Linked DNA regions of Ovis aries. The main gene of each other region encodes a partner of the protein of the gene in region 2 in a complex. Links are inferred from orthologs where the notes say so. Each region holds a gene or a part of one and is shown on either strand. Other genes may lie near its edges. The genes, in order: ARHGDIA and NGFR.

Region 1 (4,472 bases), about 14 Mb from region 2:
GCGGCAGCGTGGGCGGGCCCTGTCAGCACTTTGGTCTGGGGTCGGGGGGATGGGGTGGTGGGGTGGGGCGCGTCCGTCCTTCCGTCCGCCCGCCCTGCCCGCCTCCCGGCTCAGTCCTTCCACTCCTTCTTGATGGTGAGGTTCCATTCCCAGGACAGGTGGTCAGTCCTGTCGTCGTCTGTGAAGCGGGACTTGATGTTGTAGCTGCCTCGAGCCAGCATGCCCTTGGGCGCCTCCTCCATGGGCGTCAGGAACTCATACTCCTCCGCCCGGGGCCCATAGCTCCCCACCATGTAGTCAGTCTTGTCAACTGTGGGGCACGGGGAGGGCGTCCGTCAGGGAGCTGAGGCGGGCCTTTCCCCGCTCCCTCCCGGCGCCCCTTGAGCCCCCGGTGGCCACCTCCCTCCTGGTGCCCCCGCACTCACTCTTCACGCCTTTCCTGTACGTGTGCTGGATGTACTTCATGCCGGACACAATCTCTCGGTTCACCTGCAAGGAGGCACACAAGCGGGGCTCAGCCAGACTCTCCAGTCCGAGCCCCCAGCATCCCCCCAAGCCTCCTCCTTACCCGGAAGGAGATTTTTATCCGATATTCCACACCCTCCTTCAGCACAAAAGACTGCTTCTTGAAGCTCTCCAGATCACCTGCGTTTGAGAGGAACGCCACACTAGGAGGTTCAGGTAGGGGAAGCCACTCCGGCCCTGGTGGGGTGCCCTGTCTGCCCCTCTACACACACACACCCCCGGCATCCCAGGCCACACCAAACACACACACCCACACACCCACACCCACACACACACCCCTTGACATCCCAGGCCACACCCCAGACACCCACACACACCCCACCCTCCAATCCCAGGCCACACCAAAGCCAGAGCCTTATTAAAATCACTTGGTTGCACTTCCTAGGCTCCCCACAAGAGGGCGCCAGCATCTCAACAAATTATTTTTAGGGGAATTAGCAGGGTGCCAGGCAGCCCCAGCGAGGAACCTGGAGATGCCACTCACCTGTCAGGTCCAGCTCCAGGGGGCCCGGGGCAGTGCTACACACCAGGGTCAGTCGGGTCACCACAACATTGGGGACATTGGGGTCTGCAGAGTGACAGCAAGTTAGAGCTCCGCCAGCAGGGGAAATAGTGGCGGACACCCAGAAAAGCGACAGGTGTCCACACACCCCACCGGGGCCCACTTACCGGCAGACACAGCCACGCGGCCCAGGAGGGCCTCCTTGTATTTGCGCAGACTCTCGTCGTCCTTGTCCAGCTCCTGGATCTCCTGAATGCTCTTCTGGGCCGGGGGCTTATAGTTGACCGAGTGCTCGTCCTCCTCGTTCTCTGCCGCAATCTGTGCCAACTGCTCGGCTGTGGGCTCCTGCTCAGCCATACTCACCTCTAGCTGGATGTGAGACACCTGTGACCAGAGTAGCAGGGGCTGCGGCAGCCTGGAGGGACCCACAGTGTGTCCCCACCTGCCCTTCTGCAGGACCTGCAGGTGGTCTGCACTGGCTCTCTGCAAGTGGCCAAACCCCCAACCTGGGCCCAAGGGGAGGTGCACGTTCTCTAACAGGAAGGCAGTGACAGCCAGAACTTCATAAAAGGCCCAGACACAGGCTCCTGAAGCCCAAAGGGGCCACTCACCTCCTCGCCCTGCCCACCTCACAGGACCTCACCCCAGCATCCAGAGCTAAATGAAAGGAAAGCAGGCACAGCTTCCCTGCTGCCCAGGAAGCAGCAGCACCTGGGTCCAACCAGGAAGCACCAGGACCAAGTGCTGCTTCTTGTTCTGAGCTGCCTAGGCCCTCTCCTCAAGGAAACCCTCTTGCTGGGTTCTCTCTGACCAGCCTGTTCCTTCAAAAACGCCCCAGCTACAAACCAAGGCCTTTGTGCAGGACATGGGTCAGTCATGTCTCCCTCCAGCCCAAACACAGGTCTCCCCTAGAGCTCAGATGACGGGGCTAGCCTAAGTCCCACAGGTAAGTCCTGAAATGGCCTAAAAGACCCTACCTGTCCGACAAACCAATCTCTAATTGTGAGGGTCTGTGACCTAGAATTTGAGAACTGCTGCAGCCATGTGATGGGTAGTCTCAAGATCCTCCTTCCGCCCGGGCCCCAGAAGAGCCCAGAGCAATGCTGTCAAAGCGAGAAGTGATGGGGCAGCCACAGGACTTCCTTCGCTAAGGATGACCGTCGCACCCCGCAGAATCCCTGAGGAGTACCTGAAACCGACTCAGACTAGACCCGGCGGTGTGGGAGGTGGGTCAGGGCCACCGGTTGCCAGTAAAGACAGCCAATGCCGGGACGTGCGTGAGGACCCGATCTTACAAAGGGCCGCTGGGGACCCGGAACCGCCCGGCCGCCACAGGCAGGGTGGGGCCGGCTCGTTCTTTCCAAGCTTCCCTGCAGCTTCCTCTGGAATTCCTCTAGAAGGCTCACGCCTTAACGTCACTCAAGCGCGGCCGCAGGCGACAAAATCATTTAAGTGCGATGGCGAGGCCCGCACTTCCGCAGGGCCTGCAATCTGGGCCAGGCGAGGCCCGGCAAGCAGGGTGGGGCGCAGGGACCTCACCTCCCAGGGGAGGAGGCGTCCCGCCTGGCCCTGGTCCGCGCGCACCAGCAAGCAGGGGGCTGCCGAGTACGAGCAGCGACCACAAAAGAGGTCTGCACAGACCCCGGCTCCCACCCCCGGCACACGCGCCCCCGCCTCCAGATCCCCGCGCCCCCGATCGCACGTGGGCCCGCCCTGCGCCCGGGGCGCCGCCCGCTGTCAATGCCGCCCCCGCCCTGCGCAGATTCCCTCAGCGGGACTGGCGGGCGGGGCGGGAAGCGAGAACAAAGGCGCGGCCCCGGCCTCCTTCCCCGCGGCCGCCTCGCCCGCCGTGCCCACCGCGCTCGCTGGCCTCGCCGCCCGCACTCACCGGAGGATCGTCCGCGCCGCTCTCGCGCTCCCTCCCGCACAGAATGACGAACGTCGCCGCCCCGCCCGCGCGCGCCCTGCCGGCCACTTCCGGGGTCACGCGACTTCCGCTCGCGCCGGGCGGGCCGCGGATAGCGCATGTGCGAGGAGCTGCCGGCAGCGCGCCGCCGCCATCTTGCGGACCGGCCTCGTGGGCGCGTCCGTTTGGGCAGCGCGGCAAAGGAGACTTGTCCGGTTGGGGCTCCTGTGCTCTTTGCCACAGGCTTTTCTTAGTCCCGGGTATCCTCAGGAGTCTGCCGGCAAGCTGAAGGGGTGGGGAAGTGAGATGGTCTCGCTGAGCGCCACGAGAAACCTGAGCGCGGCATGGTATTTCTGCGAGGTGCTGGGACGCGCGTGTGTCACGGGCGCGTCTCCGTCAGCGGGCATCTCTCCCTTCGAGGGCCCGCTGCCATCACGCCGCGGGGACGAGCCGGCACAGCCGATCCCATCAAGTAGCCGAGGTCAGCGAGTGGCAGCTGTCCGGCCTTAGGCTGCCTTCGCGCCCACTCGCCGATGTCCGCCCTCCCGGAAGTTATCGTCGAACGTTCATCCACGGGTGTCCAAATAGCTCTCTCCAGGCCTTTCCCCTTCCAGCCCAAGTCACCATGCGGTCGCCCTTTTGGGAGCTCCTAGCCCAGACGCCACCAGGCGTGGCGACTATCGGACACATGCCCACGCCTTCAACCAGCGAGGATTTTGCAGCGCCAAGCCGGGCCTATGATTTGTAGCCAGGCTGGCGGAGCCTGCGCTGCCAACGCCGGTCTAGCATGCATCTCTTCTTCCTTCGCCTCCTCCTCGCGGAGTGCAAGACCTCAAATGCTTCACACCCGAGTCATCACAAACACACACCCCTGGATTGCACGTGGTGGGGGCGTTTTAGGTCACAGAACCTAATGTGAAATACTGACCTTGGTATCTTTTGGAAATGTCTTAACTTTGGGGGAATATTTGCGAGTTTTCTGTAATGAAGAGTCACATGGTCAGCTTAACATGTAGAAAGTTGAGTTGGCCAAAGGCAGAGCATTCCAATCTTGTATTTATTCCATACACACTTTTGAGGCTTCCTGTTGGCGCACCTGAAAACTGCCCGGCTAGTCCCCGACGCACTCATCCTGCGTCCTGCTACATTGCCCAATCGCTGACTGAGCAAAAGTTTGTTTTTCGATAACCCAAGTGCTTTTTGAAAACTATCTAACTCTGTTATATTAGTCACCTATTGCTGTGTAAAAACATAACCCTGGAATTTAGCAGCTTGAAACGACCAACATACACTGTCCTTACCGAGGATCAGGGAGAGCTCCGCTCGGTGGTTCTGGCTCGTCTAGTGAGGTTGTGGTTGAACTGTGAGCCAGGGACCTGGTTTCAGGATCTGCAAGCATTCCAAGCTTATGCACGTGCTGTGGGCAGGAGGCTCTGATCCTCACAGGCTGTTGGCTGGAGGATTTAGTTCCCTGCTGCCCACAGCTTCTGGCTTCTCTGTAAGGCAGCTGGCTTTCGCGGAGTGAGGCCTCAGAAAGAG
Region 2 (4,503 bases):
GCTGGGCAGGGGAGTGTGCCTGGCATAAGGAGGAAAGAGTAAACTCCAAGCCAGGAATCCTGGGTTCCAACAAGGGCGCTACCACATACTAACTGGGGCAACTTGGTTTCCTCTCTGAAGGCCTGAGAGGTTCAGCTTTCTCAACTGTAAAATGGGAATAACTAGATTTGTTCTGCTGGGACAAGAGAAATTATCCAGGGTAGTGCGTGGCACACGGTAGGCACTCAACCAATTTTATTATTCCCACCTCTGCGCCTCCCACCCCAGGGAAGAATCTAGGCGCGTGAACGCGACCCGGCTGGCACAGCGGGGCGGGGACCCCTTCCCTCCCGGGGTTTCCTCCCCCACCCGCTCCTGTCCTCGCATTTGCTGTCCTAGTTGCATCCCTATTAGGCGCATTAGCCAGCCGGCGGCTCCGGTTACAGACGTCTGAATGACAAAGTGCCTCCATTACCGGCGCGGCCCGTCAGTCGACCCGCCGGGATGCGCTCCGGTTTCAGCACTCTCTCGCCGCGGCCCAGGAAGAAACTCGGACCGCTGCGGTGCGCAGGGCCAGCTCGTAGACAGCAGCCCCGCGGCGAGGCAGGCGCGAGAGCCGCAGGGGTGCGGGCGGCAGATTCTATGCGGGTCCACCTTCCCGAGCTCCCGGGCCCTCCATCCCCTGCTCCCTTCCTTCTCTCTATTCGGGGGACACTCTCCAGCCCAAATCCCGAGCCCACGCCCTCGCCCCTCCGGAATCCGCACTACTGGCTGCCCCAATCCCCAATCCCCGCTCCCGGCCACCCCTACCCCCGACCCCGCCCTCCGCCCCGGCCCCGGCCCCGGCCCCGGCCCCGGCCCCGGCCCCGGCCCCTGAGAAGCTTCTGTAACCCGCGGTGTTAGTGCGCAGACGTGCCCGCGGTCACTCGCAAATCCCCGGACGCAGCCACAGGTACTGACCGCCCCGGGGGGCTGTGCTGAGCTTCGGGGATGGGTCTCTGCCCATCCCAGCCCCCCTGTTCCCGCCCGCTCGCCGCCGAGACGCGCAGCTCTTCTCTGGAGCTGGGACGCCGGGCTGCCCCGTTAGACGTACGGGAGGTACCGAGCTGGCAGTCAGGTGAGGGGCAGTCTCCCTAGGGTTCTGGCTCAACTCGCTTGTGGGACCTTCCTTGACCAACTGGTTAAAACTCTCAGAGCCTCAGTCGCCTGTCTGTAAAATGGGGGGTTGGGGGCTCAGTGCTCAGAGGAGATGAAGACGGCAGGGAGAGTGAGGACGTCTCCATTGCAGAACCTTCCAGGGCACTCCCTTCACGGCCACACATCGGGTCCTGAATGTCCTGTCAGATCTACCGGGCGGACCTCGACGCTTTCTAAGTCCCGCAGTCCTTTGCCGAGATGTCTGAGAGCCTCTCTCTTGTCCCGAGCCGGGAGTCTTTCACCGAAAGCTGGGCGGGGCGCGGGCAGAACCCCGACCCCCTCCCCCCCGGTTAGCGGAAACGTAGCGAACGGTCGCGGCGGCGCTGCGGCAGGTTGACTTCACAGGGGTCCGGGTGGCGGGTGAAGCGCGCAGTCCGGGTCGCGCCAGTAGCGGCGATCGCGCAGCCTTCGCGCCGCAGCGCCCCCTGCCGGCCGCCCTCGCCGGCGCGCCCCCTCGGCGGCGCACCGCCTGGACCTTCCCGGCTCTGCGAGTCCCGCCTCTCTGCACCCCGAGAACTGGCAGCGGCCAGAACCTGTCAGACGACGCCTGCTTCGTCCCATCCAGTCCGCAGCTCTGCTTCTAACCGCGACAATAAGTGTGTAGCGGGAGCCCGCCGGTCGCTGGGGAACCGGGGAGGCGGGTTCGCCCTGGCGAGGTGGGCACTCCTTTCCCGGCCTCGGACCCCAAACCACAATTCCCCGACCGCGCGAGAGAGCGCGCGCGACACATGCGGGGAGAGTCTGTCTCTGCTCTCTCTTCTCGTCCCACTGTCTCTCGGCGGACAGGCGGGGCCCAGACCACTCAGCTCTGCTCTCCCTACTCCGTCCTCTCTCCTTTTGCTTCCCTCTCTCCACCTGCCTCACCAGCGTCCCTTTTCTGCCCTGCCTAACCCACCTCTCTCCCTTCAACAGAGGCTCCCCGAACCTCTCCCTCCCACGCCCCTCCCCCCACCCCATTGTCTGGCTGGTCTTCATTGTCCGACGCCCGGTCCCCTTGCCTCCAGTCCCTCCGTCCTCCTCCCACACCATTCTTATCTCCTCGTCTCCGGTTCCCCACCCCAACCACGCTCGCCCCTCACTTTTCTAGTTCCCGTCCCATTCCTCGTCCTTCTCTAGCCTGGGTTCCGTCCCACGACTCTCCAGAGATCAAGATGCTCAGAGGGAAAGTCGCCTCGAGATCCCGCATTCAAGCGCCCTCTTCCGAAGAACCCAGGCATCCGAGAGCCCCACGACTCTCTCCTGAGAGACCCCTCCCAGCTCCTCCACACACACCTCCTATGGCACACGAGGACCTGCTTCCGCGCGCCCCTCTTCTCCGCATCTTTACCTTAAATCTCAGAGTCGCCTCTTCGCTCTGAGAACCTGAGACGCTCCTCCGTGGATACTGGCATCATCGGAGCTCCTCTCTCGTCATCCACCGCCCCCCGCCCCACACCCGCCCCGCCGCCGCCGCCGCCGCCAGCATCTGGGACCCCAATGCTCTTTTCTGTTTTTCCTCAGGGAAACTTGGACTCATCGAGGTTTCGGTCCCGGGAAAGAGAGCGAGCTCCCCTTCCGTTAGCACTCACCCCCAGGAGCAGCAGCAGCAGCAGGCGCGGCCCGTCCATGGCGCGGCCGGCGGCACCTGACCCCATCGCCCGCCTCCCGCGGCAGCGCTCGGCTTTCAGTTCAGCCCGCTCCGCGGACCGATAGGGCTGCGCTGCGCAGCGCTCCAGCGCCAGCCCCTCAGAGCTGGCGGAGGCTCGGCTCCCTCTGGCTGCCGGCGGGAGGGGCTAGGAGAAGCCAGTGCGGCGGCCCCGCCCTCGCCCCGCCCAGCCCGCCCACCCCCGGAACCGCGCCCGCCCTCCCCGCGGTCTCCCGGAGGGGAGAGGCGGAAAGGGACCGTGCAGGGAGCCGCGCCCGTGAGCCCCGCTGCAGCTTCTCCGCACCCCGCCCTCAAAGCTTATCCCTGACCTGGTACCCGGCGCCTGACCCGCGCTGCTACGCGTCCGTCCCGGATGCTGTGGGCTCGGATTCCCTCTCTTGCGCATCTTTCCCTGCCTCTGGCTTCAGCTTCTTCCCCGGTGCCCTGCTCCCTACCCAGCCGTTATCAGCAGTAATGCTCACTGCCCGCCCCTCCTTTCATTTCCCGGTCTATACCCAAGTCCTTCTCTGCCCCTTCCCAGTGCGGGGTTGTCTCTGCAAAGGCCTAGGGGAAGGAGGGAGAGAGGTGGCAAGTGGTCTGACACGGACCACAGACAGCTGGGACGTTCAAGGAGGAGACCATCCCGACATCATTTGAATTCTCAAAAGACGGGTCTGAAGCGATCGCAGGTGTGCACACACACAAAAAGGAATACACACACTCCCGAGGTTACATACATATGTGCTTATGCAGTCGCCTATGCCCCCGCCATCCTCACGCAGTCCTGTGGACCGGTGCCTTCTGCCCATGCCTGTGCACCTCCACACATGCACACTCATCGCCCGTGTGCTCATAACATTCAAACACACGTCCTCACATACACACTCACACATACACGTGTTCGTGTGCAGTCATCTCCATGAAACCCCTCATATGTATAATCTCTCACACAGTGCACACACACACACACACACACACAGAGATATGAACACATAGATGTATCCTCAACCATTTGCCTTCATTAGACTATGTTTCCATAAGCTGATGAGCTCCCTGGAGGCAGGGACTGCGGTTTCTTATCTGGATGCCTAGTACACAGTAGGTGTTCAATGAAGGTCTGCAGAAAGAATAAAAGAGTTGAATGGACTCACATCCACGTACATCTCCAGGACCACACTCATCATGCTCTAGAAAACTTGGAAGTTTCAAATTATAGGCCCTGGCAACCCCAGGAGTTTGCCACCAGTCTTTTGGCAGGAAGCACTTCCACCTCCACCTTGATGCTCAACCCCACCTTGCCTGTCCCCACCCTTTCCTGGTTCCCAGATAGCCCTGGAGCATAGAGTTGTAGGGGGCAAGTCTATAAAGCTCATCCCCTCACCCTGAACTTGGCCAGGTGTGGACCTCAGTTTCAACTTTGAAAAGATAGCCTTACAGGAAGAAGGGAGAGAGTCAGACACTTGTGCTTAGGGCAAGCTTACTATTGGTAGGTGATTTCTCAGCTAAATCATTCATTTGTGGGAGTAAAAATTCTGCCCTGTGAGTTTCTTTCCTGTGTAACCAACAAAATCCAGTGGCTATCCCCAGAAAGGACAGGTAGACGTCAAATCACTGTGGCCTTGGCCATGAATGTGAATAAGCTACCTCCCACGGCTGGGCAGAAGACACCAGGCAGCCATCCCCTCTTCAGAAATCCCTGAGGA

Evidence for each region.
Region 1: the proteins of NGFR (region 2) and ARHGDIA are in contact, whole or in part, in an NMR structure (PDB 8X8T), measured with the Homo sapiens proteins. The link is inferred for Ovis aries from reciprocal best matches to the Homo sapiens genes NGFR and ARHGDIA. Residues at the interface, in NP_002498.1 of Homo sapiens: Arg274, Trp275, Ser277, Cys278, Lys279, Gln280, Lys282, Gln283, Gly284, Ala285, Ser287, Arg288, Pro289, Val290, Asn291, Gln292, Thr293, Pro294, Pro295, Pro296, Glu299, Lys300, Leu301, Ile307, Ser308, Val309, Gln312, Ser313, Asp316, Gln317; in NP_001172006.1 of Homo sapiens: Ala8, Glu9, Leu11, Ala12, Gln13, Ile14, Ala15, Ala16, Glu17, Asn18, Glu19, Glu20, Asp21, Glu22, Val25, Pro30, Ala31, Gln32, Lys33, Ile35, Gln36, Glu37, Ile38, Gln39, Glu40, Leu41, Asp42, Lys43, Asp44, Asp45.

The regions. Positions count from the first base shown.
Region 1 is NC_056064.1:50,519,996-50,524,467, reverse strand, and holds the start of ARHGDIA (rho GDP-dissociation inhibitor 1), read right to left. Parts: upstream 2,961-4,472; 5' UTR 2,217-2,960; intron 2,131-2,216; 5' UTR 2,005-2,130; intron 1,412-2,004; 5' UTR 1,385-1,411; coding exon 1,195-1,384; intron 1,094-1,194; coding exon 1,010-1,093; intron 646-1,009; coding exon 569-645; intron 490-568; coding exon 426-489; intron 311-425; coding exon 111-310; 3' UTR 1-110. UniProt on the Homo sapiens protein: Controls Rho proteins homeostasis. Regulates the GDP/GTP exchange reaction of the Rho proteins by inhibiting the dissociation of GDP from them, and the subsequent binding of GTP to them.
Region 2 is NC_056064.1:36,842,057-36,846,559, forward strand, and holds the start of NGFR (tumor necrosis factor receptor superfamily member 16), read right to left. Parts: upstream 2,931-4,503; 5' UTR 2,811-2,930; coding exon 2,745-2,810; intron 1-2,744. UniProt on the Homo sapiens protein: Low affinity receptor which can bind to NGF, BDNF, NTF3, and NTF4. Forms a heterodimeric receptor with SORCS2 that binds the precursor forms of NGF, BDNF and NTF3 with high affinity, and has much lower affinity for mature NGF and BDNF.